Linked DNA regions of Oryzias latipes. The protein of the gene in region 1 interacts with the protein of each later gene in a biochemical or structural test. Links are inferred from orthologs where the notes say so. Each region holds a gene or a part of one and is shown in the gene's direction. Other genes may lie near its edges. The genes, in order: exoc2 and ras-related protein Ral-A.

Evidence for each region.
Region 2: the proteins of exoc2 (region 1) and ras-related protein Ral-A are reported together in a solved structure, tested with the Homo sapiens proteins (2 studies listed by BioGRID, with this or other methods). The link is inferred for Oryzias latipes from reciprocal best matches to the Homo sapiens genes EXOC2 and RALA.

What each region holds. Positions count from the first base shown.
Region 1 is NC_019862.2:21,229,167-21,236,481, forward strand, and holds part of exoc2 (exocyst complex component 2), read left to right. Parts: intron 1-416; coding exon 417-533; intron 534-2,813; coding exon 2,814-2,955; intron 2,956-6,486; coding exon 6,487-6,542; intron 6,543-6,617; coding exon 6,618-6,740; intron 6,741-6,928; coding exon 6,929-6,990; intron 6,991-7,276; coding exon 7,277-7,315. UniProt on the Homo sapiens protein: Component of the exocyst complex involved in the docking of exocytic vesicles with fusion sites on the plasma membrane.
Region 2 is NC_019878.2:22,514,307-22,522,658, forward strand, and holds the start of ras-related protein Ral-A, read left to right. Parts: upstream 1-3,971; 5' UTR 3,972-4,263; coding exon of another isoform or gene 4,264-4,354; exon of another isoform or gene 4,355-4,370; intron 4,371-4,413; exon of another isoform or gene 4,414-4,583; intron 4,584-5,730; exon of another isoform or gene 5,731-5,757; 5' UTR 5,758-5,801; coding exon 5,802-5,915; intron 5,916-5,986; coding exon 5,987-6,195; intron 6,196-7,493; coding exon 7,494-7,668; intron 7,669-7,748; coding exon 7,749-7,871; 3' UTR 7,872-8,352. Other genes in the region: mediator of RNA polymerase II transcription subunit 1, read right to left, coding at 1-1, 83-207, 308-407, 474-530, 599-675, 1,135-1,200, 1,282-1,353, 1,886-1,914 and 5 more. UniProt on the Homo sapiens protein: Multifunctional GTPase involved in a variety of cellular processes including gene expression, cell migration, cell proliferation, oncogenic transformation and membrane trafficking.

The sequences.
Region 1 (7,315 bases):
TCTAGGACATAGTTTCTGTAGAGCAGCAGTCGTTCATTAGAAACTCTCCTCTGAGTTGTGGGTGGGACCGTTGGCGTGAACCAAACCCCTTCCCTCCCGGTGGCTGAGAGCTTTAAGCAGGGAGCGTTTGGCGTATTTTCTACAGCTAAAAAAGCTAATTTTCAAACTTCATTTTTTTTTCTGTTCCTGATTCGCAACGATTTGAATAAAGAAATACTGAGAAATGCAATTAATTTCTTTATATACATGTCCTCCATCTTTAGAAAAATGCCACAGACACATGTTAAAATACCAAAACACCATTTTCTGCAAACTAGGTCTTCAAAAACATGTGATTATTTAACAAAACGAGTTTGTGCTGGAACAAGGTCTTGGGCTTAAATTACAATCTAACTTTTCCTTTCTTTTATGAACAGGAGCAGCGTTTGCTGATCATTCTGAGCAACTGCCAGTACCTGGAGAGACGCACCTTCCTGAACTTGGCGGATCACTTTGAAAAGCACGGCTTCACGGGAACAGAGAAGATCACGCGGGTCAGTACCTGCTGCTGTGACCTGCAGCTGTTACACTCCTATTGAGGAGAAGTGTGGAGGCGTCATGAGAAGAAAACAAACTACAACAACTAAACTGATCTGTGTGTTTTTTTTCGTTTCTCAGCAAAGGGATGACTAATGAAAAGAAAAAGTCACACTTTTCACCTCTGTTCTCAACATAGTCACACTGCTGCACACAATGACTAATGGCTGAATCACAAAGCTAAGAAGGGTTTGATCTGTTGATTTTCCTGTAAAAACTCACTTTATTTGAAAGATTAAGTTAAAAGTTTGAATTAGACCCGAAAGCATGATGCCTATGATAATTTGTCTAGACTGCTGAGCTGTGCTGCTCCACATTAAACACATTTAACGGTAAACAAGAAAAAGAAGAAAGTATTGAAGGGTTGTACCACTGCTGCACATGCTGCCTTTACAGCATTATTAATAGGAGCTGGTGTCAGAGCAGCATAAATAATGCTAGCAGCTGCTCACAAACACACCATGTGACCAGTTCAGATTGTGCTAACTTATGTAGTGTGCTAAGTTGGTTCTTTTACTCTTTGTCTCAGTCTGGTTTCTTTGCAGTGTTACTCCAATGTCAGATTGAAGGATATACAAGATTTTAAAAAAATCCATCTTGATGCCTGAAAAATTAATTTAGGAGGGTTTAGACCTATTATTTATAAATAAAAATTGGGGGGGGGGGGGGTCTATTTCAATTAAGCCTCAGTTCAAACCATTGACTATATTTGAGAACTGGACTGAGTGACTCCTCCCCCCTTGCATTCCAAACAGGAAGTACCTGCTGGTTCCAAGAAGCTAGACTTTTTCAGAGAAATAAACGGCTATTGCTCAATCATTCCATTTGTAGGAATAACCGTTCTTACTCTGCTACATTTTTTGCTAATCCTCTTTATTTACCATTATTATTATTCTTTATTTCAAGTTATTCAAGTATATTCACTGAACAATCAGATGCCTCAATGAAGGTATGCGTTTTAAGTCAATTGTTTGAAAAGTTTGATTGACAGATTCTACCAAGACCACTTTCAAAAGATAGGGGTGTGACCTTTCAACAAGCTTACTCCTGGTTGGCAAGAGTGGTCGCCATAGAAACGATGACTCAAACTGATTTGGACCAATCACTGCTTACTTACGATTTCTGGCTCCAACATGGCAACATCTACATTGCGAAAAAATGGCGACTGAATTGACTTCATTTGGTTGGAGCCAGAACAAAGTCAGTCCAGTTCTCCTTTATAGTCAATGGCGTAAGCCAACTCTTTCATAATATTTAATTCCATCTCTCTTCCAGCCAAGAATTAAGCTGATGGCAAAGAAAAAAATAGTCGATCATAGTATTAAACCTTTTTTCTTTTCTTTTTGAAAATCTTTGTGTTTCTCCACACTGCAGAACAACACAAAGAGGAAAAAAGATTCATAATAACACATTTCAATTTTTCTGCTTTAGGTTATGCTTATGGATGTGTTTAAGACCCAGGTCTGGATGTCACTTTGCTCCTCAGCCAAGCATGTCAAAGGATAGTAAACATTAGATCCGTTCAAACAGAATCTCTCTGGAATGAAAGCATAAGTACTGCATTCTGCTGCTCTAAAAGTGCAGGAATGGATCCAATGTTAAACGGACATTTAGCACACATTTGTTTGTTTGTACATTTGTTCACACTGGACTGTCACTACCCATACTAGCGCATGTGCCTAAAGTTGGAAGAGGCTTGGTTCGAAATGTCAAAGCCCTGCAAACCTTATGAATCTTGCTACAATTCTCACAGTTCTATTCTGAGATATGAAAGACTTGCTGTCATAGAATAACGGCTGAGCCCAACGTGCAGCTGTTAATTTCTCTTCCACGATCAATTTTCAAACGTTGGGCACTTCCGTCAATTAAAGGGATGCCATCCATGCGTCACTACCAAATCAGAGTCTCTGATTGGTCAAAGATCAAACTTGTTTAACTTTCAACATGCTTTTGATGACAGCATGTTTTGTACATGGAGCCTAAAAACAGTCCTAAAATTGTGCGTAGCGACACATGAATGCTAAAGTGTTGAACACAGATGCCCTAACGCACATATATGTGCGTTTACAAAGACTTTTCAATGGAAGTGATCTCTTGAACGTGTTGCAGATGGCGATGTAAGCAGCTTAATCCACTTTTTATTCTTTTTAATTTCTTTTTTACTTTCCACTTACAAGGTCATGTCCAAAGAAATAGATGACAGCAGCCATCTTTCTCTTTCCCTCCTCGTCCTCCAGGTGAGCATGGACGCCATCCGAGAGCTGGACCGGAAACTCTTTGAAGCTTACATCGAGCGGCGTGCCGACCCCATCGCCGGCTCCCTAGAGCCTGGAATCTACGCTGGATACTTTGACTGGAGGGACTGCCAGACGCCGTCAGGTATCACCTGATGAATGCCAGGAGCCGCGTTTGAGACCATGAGGGAAACCCCCACCATCACCACTCATTGACCCAAGGAGCATGAGAGATCAGCCACCAGCAGACTTGTTTAGTCAAAACCTGGTGACTTTGGTCTCTTCAGCTCAGTTGTGGTTAGAGTGTGTCATGTATGAAGTACAGCTCTTTGAAGCCTTACTGTAAACACTGCTGAGTTCATGCTCTCGCTCTTCTTCCTCAAGCTCTCACGGCCTTTTCTGTGGAGGTGTGGGTGTGAAGTAATTTTTTACTTTACATTGACATTTCTCCCTCAAGCTTTACAAACAAAGGTGAAACTTTAATATGAGTGTGCGGTTGAACCTAACGCAGGATGTGAAGCAACAAAACAGAGCTAGTGAATCTGTCAGAAAGGGCTACGGTTTAGCCTTTTTTTTTTTTTTTTTTACCTTGTCTTGACAACAAAAAAAAGTGTGAGCCCCACACAGGTTTGTTGCTTCCTCTGAAAGTTCATGTTTGAGCTTACATCCGAAAGAGGAACATTATGGACAGCAAACCACAGTTCTAGGATATGATACTTTCACTTGTCGCACTCCTTGTGTCGGTCCTATTTTAGCGTGTGGGGTGTTGCAGGGCATCGAGAATCCGGTTTCAGTACGTTTTTTTTTGTTGCTGCTTTTGTCTATGTCACTTACAGATTTTAGTGTTTGGTTTATTTTAAAGTACTGCTCTTTTATTGACAATACAATTAGGCATCAGCAAATTCTGGCCTTCTGTGCATTTTTTAAACGCAAGAAATGATTGATTTTATTAGAAAGTGTCTTAAGTTATATTTATAGGAAGACAAACATCTTTCCTCTACTTGGTTGTGCTCTGGAACATTAGGATTTCTGGATTTGTGTTTTGCCAACAAGATAACAATTCATCAAATAAATAAAGAATTATAATCTCTGAATTTGGGCTGTCTGCACCATCATACACTGCTGAAAAAGGCAAAACTATGATGCACACAAGAAATGTATCATGATCTGTTTATTTTCCTATTATGGCAGTTACATGGTGTACAGTTTTGCTCAACTGCTAAACGTTAGCATTTTAGAAAAAGCTCTGGCGGTTAAATTCCTAAAGTCATCGATATACTTTCAATACACTTGTGTCCTACTTTCAATAGTCTAAGAAGCTGTGAAATAGGATTCCTTGAACACGTTCTCAGTTTTTGGTTTCACGTCTTTAACAGCTTCACACAGTGGCGCCGAACGCAGGAATGACGAAAACAAGAAGAATGGAGCAAACCACAGAGGAGAAACTTTGACGAGTTTTAGTGGAAAAATGCCCAACTTAAGCAATGTCCAAAGCTCCGAGTCACTTCCACTTCTAAACCAATGATTACTAGTAACAGTGATTGCAGAATGACTCGTTCTCTGTAGTACGATTAGCATTGCGGGCTAAAGATGTGTTGCTAATTTTTAGCAGCTTCGGTTAACCCGTGGAAACCATTTACTCAGTGGTGGGCCGTCAGGGCCTTCAAGGCCTTCTCTGAAGGCCTAAAAATATCTGAATCATGTGTTAATTATATTTTGTCCATGCATACTCATTAAATCATTCCAATTGGTCTGTCCATTCTATTTAAGTGTGTTTATGATGGTTTTGCTGCATCCATGTGTTTTCATATTGGTGCATTTAACCAATCGCATTTCAGCTGTCCTTTCTTGCTAGGCAGGGTCAGAGCTAAAGAGGCCTTCACCATCGGTACTGAAGGTTCTATACTGCGAGATCTAATGTCGGACATTCATTTCTGTCAACCAATCAGATTTTGAGTTGGTGTCAGCAGGGCCTTCTAGCAGGCTTAGGCAGCATCACGGTATTCAGACCCTCTGATTGGACAGAAGTTTCAGGAATACAGGAAACATTTCCCACATGCAGCCTTGCCCAGTTTGACAAAGAACCACGGAGCATTTTTTGATCTGTCTTGGTTAAAAACAGAGCTGACTGTAATGTATGCGATTTTGCAGGAAAATCTCCCACTGATCTCCTTGACTTTATCAGAAAAATCTGTGAGATCGTGAATCAGCTGTACAGATTTGTGTGTTTGGCGCTGACCATCCCCGCGTCCACTGCATCTGTCGAGCGGACATTTTCAGCTCTAAAGCAAATTAAAACTTACCCAGAATCACAACTGGAAAGACTCGCTTTCAGCACTGACCTTGAAGGAAATGAAAAGGACTTGATGGAACTGAAGCGTGATAATCTACATGACAGGGTCATCAAACTGTTTTTGATGAAAGAGAGGAGGACGAATTTTGTCTTCAAATAATCAGATTTTTTGATGAGTGAAATGATAAGTATCATAATAAATATTATTCCAAATGTATGTGTTTTTTTTCAATGTTTTTTTCCTGGCTGTAGTAGCATAACGAGATTTGTTTACTGTTTTGTTTATTCAGCTTATTTAGAGGCATTTATTTGTGGCTACAGGAATTTTCAATATGCAATGCAAAGCTCGTTTTTGCCTCGTAAAAGGGTTCATGAGGGAGTGAGTGATTCAGACGTAGCACTACTGAAGGCCCAGGTGTGTAACGCACGGTCCGCCGCTGCATTTACTAAAAGGTCTGTTGGGTTCATGTTGCTAAAGTGGGAACTTTACAGACGTGTTGCTTCTTTTTCACTGAGGCTGTAGTTTTGACGCCTAAGCACTCTGAACACAGACACGGAAGGCGATCAGCTGCTTTCTTTCTAATGTTAGGACAAAATGGAGATTAGAAGTTACTACATTTTCAAGCGGACTTCACACTTAGTTTAGTCAAAACTTACAATACTTGTTGGTCAGAGAGCTTCTCTGCTTAGTGGAACTTGGAAAACTGCTCTGGAGACACATGCAGAGGTTTCAGCTTCTCTCAGTCTTTGGGATTGGATTCCAAAATATATTGTTTTTTTATTTTTTACTGAAGTGGTTCCAGTTAGTCCTTCAACTGCAAAAAAAGATAGGAAGAGTTTGTTTAACTGAGAAAGCATAAGTACAGTTTAAATCAAAACCAATGCCATAGAGTAATTGTTGGAATTATTGCAAAACCATGCATAAAAAGAAACTACCACACACCTCCATTGGGTCTAAATTTCCATAAAGACGACAGGATGTCGGCTGCAATCCCTCTCATCATTTTCTAACCCTTTTACATTGGAGGTGTTGCCGGCGATACCTAAATGGCGCCCACTCCTTGTCAAAGCGGCAATCTTTGACCATTTTTAATGATCAACATGAATCAGCGGATTCTGACGCGCAGAAAAGCAGCCTTCGTATCGGCTTTGCACCGATATGTAAAACATTACTGAGGTGAAGTTTTGCATAACGACGCGAAGCCGCTTTTCTCCTCTTCAGAATCCACTGAAATTCTGTCAATGGCGTTAACGGTTGAAAAGCTACGGTAGTCAGGAGACCGTTAACACTGGAGCTAAAGCTCAGGTGTAAAAGATTTCATATCGAATTGTTTTTTACTTATGAAGAACCTCCTTACTAATGTTGTACTTTAACTCTCTCAGGTGTGAGGAACTACCTAAAGGAAGCTCTTGTGAGCATCATCGCAGTCCATGCTGAGGTACAAACCCAGACCATCAGCTCTCATCCCTCTGACTTCCTTGCAGTTTGGATCTAAGTGCTCCTTTTTTGTCAGGTCTTTACAGTCTCCAAGGATCTGGTTCCTCCGGTTCTCTCGAGGATCGTGACATCAGTTGCAGATGAGATGTGTCGCCTGATGCAGTGTGTGTCCTCTTTCAGCAAAAACGGCGCCCTGCAGGTACACGATTTCAGTCATAGTAAGACCCTGACTCATAAGCCGACGCCGCACTTGCTTTTTAAGGGGGGAAGTGGGCATGTCATTTCTTCTAACGCCACATCTCAGTTGAAGAAGCTGACAGTTTATCAATTATCACTTGGTCTTGGCTACACCTAGTTTTTTTTTTTTTTTTCCTTCTATTCGCTTAGGCCCGGCTTGAGCTCTGCGCCCTAAGAGACGCTGTGGCCACATACATAAACCCTGACAGCAAGTAAGTATGTGCGCCCTGTGATTTATGGCAGTGAATGTCACAGACATCAGTTTTCACCAGGGGAATATCCCTCTCAACAATCCCTGTGTGTTAGTTAGTGGCTTCTGGAAGGGAAGTGAAAGTAATCTGGTTCTATTGTGTGCTGCTGTGTGCATGTGTGTGTTTCTGCATTCATGTCAGGATGGAGTACATATACTCATCCTGAACTGCATACTCTGGCTTTCATCTGTTAATAAACGTGCGGTTTTTCTTGTAACGTCTTAACCGAGCGCCGTATTTTTTTCAGCACCAGCTTTAAACTGGCTCTGGAGGCTCTGCCTCAGCT
Region 2 (8,352 bases), on another chromosome or scaffold:
TCTAATTGTGGAATTTGACATGTTTTTAGGAAGGAAGCTGGAGATTTAGCCAAACTTTTATTTTTGAAAAATTCAGCTTAACCTGTAATGAGGCTGAGCTTCTCCACGAACGAGGACAACACGGGCACCGGTGGCTTTAACCTGAGCAGGAAACACGCAGGCAGCATCTCGCCGGGCACCTCGCTCGGCGGAGCACCAACCGGACAGCTGCCACGGGGCAAATTCTCGCTCTATTAATGCCACAGCTGTGGCTTTGTGACTCGCCGTCATGGAGAGTGATAGGTGCACTAAACCACGACAGAGTTACCCCTGTGAATCCAGCTGAAGAGGCTCTGGAAGGACGGAGGCCATCTGCAGCCTGCGGGGCACCGCGCTGGCGCCCACAGTGACCTGAGCCGTCTGCATCACTGCTCACAAACAGGATTTTCAATCAAAATGTGTCTAAAAATTGAGCAGATTGGTTCCAAATCTACATGAGTTTGACATCCCATCATTGGGTGGCTTGTAGAACAGGACCGTCAGCAGCCCGTCTGAAATAAATCCACAGTAATGGTCTTAAATGTAGTAAGAATTAAATGTGTTTGTGTTCATTTGTTACCTTCTTTTCCTGCAACAAGACAGCCAGTCCTATTGTTGTTTACCAATTGCTGTTGGGGGTCACAGTCCTCTGCTTCCCTAAAAGTGGAAGCAAAGACATATTCATTTCCTGCCTGTTAAGTTTGGGAAATGTAAAATAGTAATGCCAGTAACTATTTTATCTCAAAGTTGGAGATCTTTCATGATCACAAGAGGTATTTTTTACTTCAAAATCAGATCATTTCCATGACATTTTTGCTTGCAACATTCGTGTATTTTAAAAACCCATTCTGATAATCTTTTAATGTACATTCAAAACATTCCTAGTGGTCTTTCAATTATGGCGGCGGTGTGTTTTTTGGCCAAAATAAAAAATAAAAAAAACTGTCAAACGTCACAAATACGTCTTTTTTTCCCCTTTTTGTTCCTTTAATGCAATTTTAAGCTTCTTTCTTTTCCTCCATCATCAGAAAAATGTTTAAAACACTAAAAAACACTTTCCATCACAGCGGCTCTATTAAAAAAATAAATTAAATAAATGATAGTTCTTGTACTCACCCTGTCATTTTCTGCAAATCTCGTACAAGAAACTGTAGAGACTCCAACAGTTTCAATTTGATTTCACTAGAAAAAAAATAAAAGAACGACTAAATTGTCATAAAAGAACCTTTTAGCCAAAATAAAAGACGTCGTTCGAGAGCGTACTTGTCTCCAGGGATGTTGTACTGAGTGAAAAGGTCTTTCAGCCTCGTGGAGAACGCAGCAAAGTCTTCGGATCTATGGCATCAACATTTACAACCATAGTTATAAGTCTTTTTCAAAATAAAAGCTGGAGAGCCATTTAACACTTCCTACAGGTAGATTAGCAAGTGTGCTTTGATGTTTTATCCATTAAAGCATTTAATTAATGAAGCATTTAAGGCTTTCTCTGCATAGTTGTCGTTTGTCCTGAATTCAGTCTAATTTTCTGGCATTTCAACTTATTTTAGTCGTTTTCTTTTTTGTGTGAGTTCATTTTCAGCTTCATCACTTAGCTTCTCTTATCCATTATAATAGTTCCAGGTGATCTTTAAGTAATTTTTATTTCTGAGAAAAATAATAACTTTTTTTTTTAAATATTCCATTTAAAGTTCAGCATCACATCCTTTTGTCTTATTTCTGAATTCAGAATGTGCAGCTTTTTCCTCTGAATTGTTGCAATTCACAGCATTTTAGTTATGGCTGCATATTTTTACAGAAAATGATAAACTAATTTGTATCCTTGTGGCAAAAAACAAAAAAAAAACGTTAACGTTCCTCGTCCTCTTACCTCAGTGTCTTCAGAAAAGACTCGCTGGGCTGCAGAAAAAAAATGTTATTTAATTAACAAATGGAGTGAAAAGCAAACGCTACATCATACATGAACAAGTCTACTTACGACAGGACCTTCTCCGTGAAGCGCCACCTTCACCTCCTGCACGCCACCACACGGCGGCAGCAGCACCTCCAGGTAAAACAGGTCGGCGGTAAGGTAACACGTGTCTTCTGTGACGTGAAACCCCATCCTTGGGAGGAAACGTTCAAACGAATGTCAGAATGTGATCAGAATGTTGATTCAAAGGTGTTTTCCGTGACTGCTTCGCTTTACCCTTGTTGCTGGGCTATCATTTCCAAACGGGACCTCGTCACACTTCTGCAAGGAGCTGAAACGTTAAAAAATAATAATAAAAACACTAATAAAATGCCCAAAGAAGTGCTGGGAGGATTGTTTACCATGAAGCACATCCTGGAGTCTTTCCAGGGATCGAACCAGTGGTTCACAAGGCTTTGATTCAATTCTGGATTTCTCCTGTTGGGGAACAAAAGGAGGCGGGAAAAGAAGCAACAATAGACGACTTGTTGGTTTGCTCAACGCTCTCTGGTCCCGTGAACCCATCCTCCCCGGGAACAAACGCTGCCTGACGCCAAACAGACAGCTGAATTTCAATACCTGAAGCTAAAAAAAACTAACTTTTGAATGAAAAATGGCCATTTTAAAAAACCCCAGCCTGCAAGACTGCTGCTCAGAAATGCGTCCAACTATAACCCCATCTGCCCAATCCCCTCGGACCACACATCATTTCAGACCGCCGCGTAATCGTGTTTCTTTAGCAGACTCCAGGGACGGACCGCTGCCAAGCTCCACTCTGAATAAATCCACTAGAATTACCGACTCTGCTCCTCCACCCATGACAAATCTAAAGAAAACTCTGCTTGCACACAAGTTTGGACGGAAACCTTCATGAGCACGCTGAGCTTTTGCTGTTCACACTCACTGACCACAAAAACCTGCAGACTTTACTTAAGTTTCATGATGCAGATGTGTAAAAAGCTCAATTTAAAAACACTTTAATGAACAAGACAAAGAATTTAGTAACGCTGCAGACAACAGATATTAGCTATTGCATGAAAATTGTGTTTCTGTGGCATTTTTCTTAAGGCTGGAGGACAGATATAGAGAAATGCACAACTCAGAGGCAAATTTCTCCTGAAATGATGCCGCTCTGCAGAAACTATGTCCTAGAAAACAACACGGGGTTGGCTAAAAACAGCATAATCATCATTAAGAAATTAATACAGAGGAGGATGAAAGTGAAACTTTAAACTACTTTAGGATGACTTAGTTAAAAACTAGAAGGAGCTGCATTTCCAGAAGAAAATGCAGGGTTGAATGCTGTATTACAGAGTGAAAATGAAACTTAAAGGGTAATAACTGGCAAAAATAAATAAATAAATGAATGATCAAAGTTGACCATAAATAAAGTAAAAACAGCACAATAAACAAATAAGAAAAAATGCCAGAGCCGGGATTCGAACCGGCGAGCTTCTGCACCAAGGATTCCCCATTTATTTCAATGGAGGCAGAAATCCTGGAAATCCTGGAATATCTTGAAAAGTTCAAGGATTTGTAGGACCAAAAGTCAAAGCTGGAAAAAGATGAAAGAGCTGAACATTTGAATAGTTGAATGGTTGAAATAGCTGAAAAATTGTAGAAGGAGTTAAGCGGCAAAAAAAAAATGGTGAAGATACTAGAATAAACAGAAACGGGAAAACAAGAAAGAAAAAAAACAGGAAAAGCTAGAAATCGTTAAACCAAAATAACAAAAGTCAAATATAATTTAAAGACATTTGTGCTCACCATGCACCTTTGAACAAGCAGAAGAGTGTCATTCCAGCTCCTCTGTGCAAACTTCAGCTGCAGGCCGGAAATTAAGCTGCTTCTCTTCATGACTGCAAACAAAAATATATTTAAAAAAACAAACAGACGTCTGTGTTTTGATGATATATCTTTCTACAGTTAGTTACTGATCCACTCTCCAACGTTGAAACACTCAGAGAAATGGCTTATATAGGACAAACCTGCCACCGTTTATGCCAATCATCCGGGTCATTTATACCATTTAGCGCGCGGACTCTGGTGTTTTTACGATATTTTATCATAACAGAAGACGATTAATTCATTGCGTTGTGTGTTTTTTCGTCATTGCAAGTTTGATAAATCAACCCAGACACAAAAGTGAGCCGGCTTGTCTGGCTCTCCCGGGCGGGCGGGCGGGCGTTGTCAGCAGGAGCCAAGCCCACAGGAGGTGCAGTCCGCCCGCCCGCCGCTGCTCACACACAGCTAGCCATGAGCTAACGAGCAGCTAGCTGACTCTTTTTTTATTTTACCATCACAATTCCGCCTCTGCGTCGACTCTTCCGCCTCGGGAATACTTGGGTGTACCGGTAGGTGTTTCCTCCCACAGAGCCCTTTGTTCATCTGCTCCAGCTGGTTCCTAATTCCTCTTTTTGGATTTTTTTTTTCTGTTTGTATTTTTTTTTAGTCGGGTTAGTTAGTTGATTAGCCGCGAGCGCGTTAGCTCTTCCCCTGTGTGTGCTTTGCTAGCGACTAAATAAAATAAAAACTGCTGGGTTTGAAGCCCGTGTTCGAGCATCTGTTGCTGCTCTCAAATAGAACCGGACCTCAAGAAGACCTCCACACCGAACCGGTACGTTTTCGGAACTCCAGCAACTAATTATTCCACGCAGGTGCGGCTAACCTGAGTGTTTTTAGCTACATCGTCAGTCAGGCAGCTAGCTACATTTTATTGACAGCTACTAACTTGTTAACAAGTTACCCCCTCGTTGATGATACAGGGTCTGTGGACGTGCGTGGGACCGTGTCTGGTAATTTCAACCGCCGCCCGTTTAGTCATCGGTGCAGTCAGACTAATCCCATTGTGTGCTCTGTTGTTGTCGTTTAAAAATGCAGCTTCATGACAGCGACGTCGTTGTAATCACTGCTGCTGCGCCTGAATGACTGTCATTATCCGCTATAAATCCGCATTTCTTTATGCCTTAAGATTGTTTGATGAATGTTTCTATAGCCGTGAAGCTGCAGAAACGCCTCTCAGTCCGGCCAGCTGACGTTCCCACTTTCGATCATTCTGCTGCTTTAAAACTATTACCGTAATGGAGAATTGGCTTCATATGCTGAATTGTTAAATCGCCTGTCGATGCTCGGGTCCATTTTTGTCAATTTGTTTAATGATGTTCTGGCAGGATTCCCGTGTTTATTTATCTCTGATCCCCAGAGGTTTGGCTTTGGCCTGGTAAGCTTAGGGCCTCCGAGCTGAACACTTCTTTTCTCATCCGTCCGACAGACCATTATGATAGAGTAACATGTAAACATCTGTCATTTGCATCCGAGTGGATTTACGACCATACAGAAACTTCCAGATGTTGTGTTTTCCAGTCGCTTTGGTTGCTTTCAAGTCTTGAAGAGCCAATGTTGGAAAGATAGGGAGGGAGGGAGGATGACAGCTGAGATGGCTTTTCCCATAAGTCCTTGACTTTTGTTTTGCACATCTTGCATAAAAAATAAAGTCACATCTGGTGTCTCTTTCCTGGAACGTTGCAGAACTTTTGAAAAGTCCTGTACAGTCAAAGACGGGTCCACTTTAACAGACGTGTCACATGTATGTAGTTTGATCTAAAAGAGATTCTAAACATGTTAAATAAGGTTATCTTAAATGCTTAATTCACTCAATTCCTCTCTGCATCACACTTGACATCCAAATTGTCTTGGATTTGCCCTTTTCTTGCAGGGAAATTATGATGCAATTTCTTCTTTTTTTGTTGTTTTAATCTCCACAGGAATTTTCATTTAGTCCTTTTCCACAGCTGGACATTTTCTAAGGTCTTCACTTCCTCTGCTTCACGGCGTCATGGCAGCTGCAAAACCAAAAGGCCAGAACTCTCTAGCTCTCCACAAAGTGATCATGGTGGGCAGTGGAGGAGTGGGGAAGTCTGCGCTGACCCTGCAGTTCATGTACGATGAGGTGAGCCGCTCATCACAGACTCATGTCGAAGGAGATCTTCTGGCCATAACCCACAATGCCGTGTGTTCCAGTTTGTGGAAGATTACGAGCCCACTAAAGCAGACAGCTACAGGAAGAAAGTGGTGCTGGATGGAGAGGAGGTGCAGATCGACATCCTTGATACGGCCGGCCAAGAGGACTACGCAGCCATCCGGGATAATTACTTCCGCAGCGGCGAAGGTTTCCTCTGCGTGTTTTCCATCACAGAATTGGAGTCCTTTGCAGCAACAGTAGACTTCAGGTGAATGTTTTTAACGTCGCCTCGACAACACGCTTCTAAAATCGCCAAACTCTGATCTTCGTGTTGGGTTTGACCCCCCCCCCCCCCCCCCAATCTCATCCAAAGACCTCTGCAGACATTTTTTGACTTTATTATCGTCCTAATTAAGTTTCTGTGCATCACACGCTCTTCCCATCAACTACTGTTCAAATGTTTAATGAAGCACACCTAAAGAATGGGAGGTCGGGGGTTCAAGTCCACGGTGAGGTCATACTAAAGACTAAAAATGGGACGTGGTACCTGTCTGGTTGACACTCTGTAGAAAGTAATAAGGGGTTGAAACGAGGAGGGGGCTGGGTTTATTATAAAACAGCAGAAATAATGCAAAACTGTTAAGTTGAATGCCAAAGTTAAAATGTATTCAAAGTACGGTTTGGTGAGAGACAAACCTGTTCTCCTTTTTTGCTTTAATGCCTGTAATGCTGGATTATCTGAACAATTGAATGAATTGATTTTAAACTGGTGTTTAATTCTTAGAGCTAGGCTTGTACAGAGAATCGCAAATTTATCGTTATTGTGATATCAAGCTGTGCAATAAAAAATTTTTTTAAACAATATTATGGCAGTTTGAAGCTTTTCACAATTTAAATAAATCCCTTTATGCATTTGACCAATGGGGTGGACCCCTGTTATGTAGACGAGGGTCATTAGGAGTTATGTTGACTCTTATTTTAATTAAACTGTTGCAGTGAAATGGAAATGATGAATTTGGTTATTGCTATTAGTTTATATATCGTCATCGCAATATTGATCATTAATATCGCCAGTTTTCCTCGTATCAAAAGTTAACGTGAAGGTTTCACAAACTTTTTAGATTTTGACAATTTTGGTTTAAAACAAACAAAAGTTGAGTTTTTTTGTTTGGACAGTTTCAGATACATTGTGGAATTATTGGGTTTTCTAATGAAAAACTGAACTGTTGTAAGGATAAACTATTGGAGCAATTTTTAAAGTAGGAAAAAAAGCTCAAGCCTCCAGAATACTATGGGTTAAAAAGCCAAAACTTTCTGCTGAAATGTTTTTAAACTTTGCTCTCTTTATTTCAAACTTTGTGGAAATTTTGATTCTTTTTTTTAAAAGCCCTCAAGTTCTTTTAAAACTTTCCTAAAATGCTTTTGCTATTCTGAAAGAAAAGAAAAAGTAAATGCCATCAAAAACGATCTATATGGTCATGAATCAATGAATTGACCCACGTCAGCTCATGCTGGCAGACGTTGGATGACAGGTTTCACGTCTGACCCACATTGGCTGCCCTACAGGGAGCAGATTCTGCGGGTGAAGGAGGACGAGAGCGTGCCCTTCCTCCTGGTCGGTAACAAGTCGGACCTGGACGACCGGCGGCAGGTCAGCGCCGAGGAGGCCAAGGCCCGCGCGGAGCAGTGGGGAGTCAGCTACGTGGAAACTTCTGCCAAAACCCGTGCCAACGTTGACAAGGTTGGTGTCGGCGCGCTGAGCGACGGCCTCGTTCATAAAGATCTGCAACTCCTTTCTGTCGCTTGTCTGCTTTTGTTTAGGTGTTTTTCGACCTGATGAGAGAAATCCGAGCGAGGAAAATGGAGGACAGCAAAGAGAAGAACGGGAAGAAGAAAAGCAAAAGTTTGGCCAAAAGAATCAGAGAGCGATGCTGTATTTTATAGTGGTGTGATGCTGAAGTACGCGCACATTTCTCAGACGTTTGCATTTATTTTGTGCCCAAACCTGACCGTAACCTTGCGTTAGTGGCCGAGAGGACATTTGACTGAGGGTCAGGCCGTAGAACGGTGGCGCTCCATTCACCACTTATAGCTCTAACTTTTTATGTTCTGACACTCCAAATACTTTATCTTCCTTCTTCTCTCAACAACAGGGTCATTAGATGGATGTTTTGTTTTTTACATTTAGGCTGAAGCTCAATAATAAGCCCTGACAAGCTTTTGTTGTATAGTTTTGTGTGTGAAACATCCTTAAAAAAACGTTGCAGTGCGCTTAGGCTGAGAAAGAGTTGAGAGCCCAGGTTTCAAGAGGAAACAGAAAAGCCCCCGATCCACGCTAACGCGACACCGTCTGCTTTAGATGAGTAGACAGTTGGAGTTCAAGGACACGCTCAGTGTCACGGTGGAAATGAAATTCAATGCCATT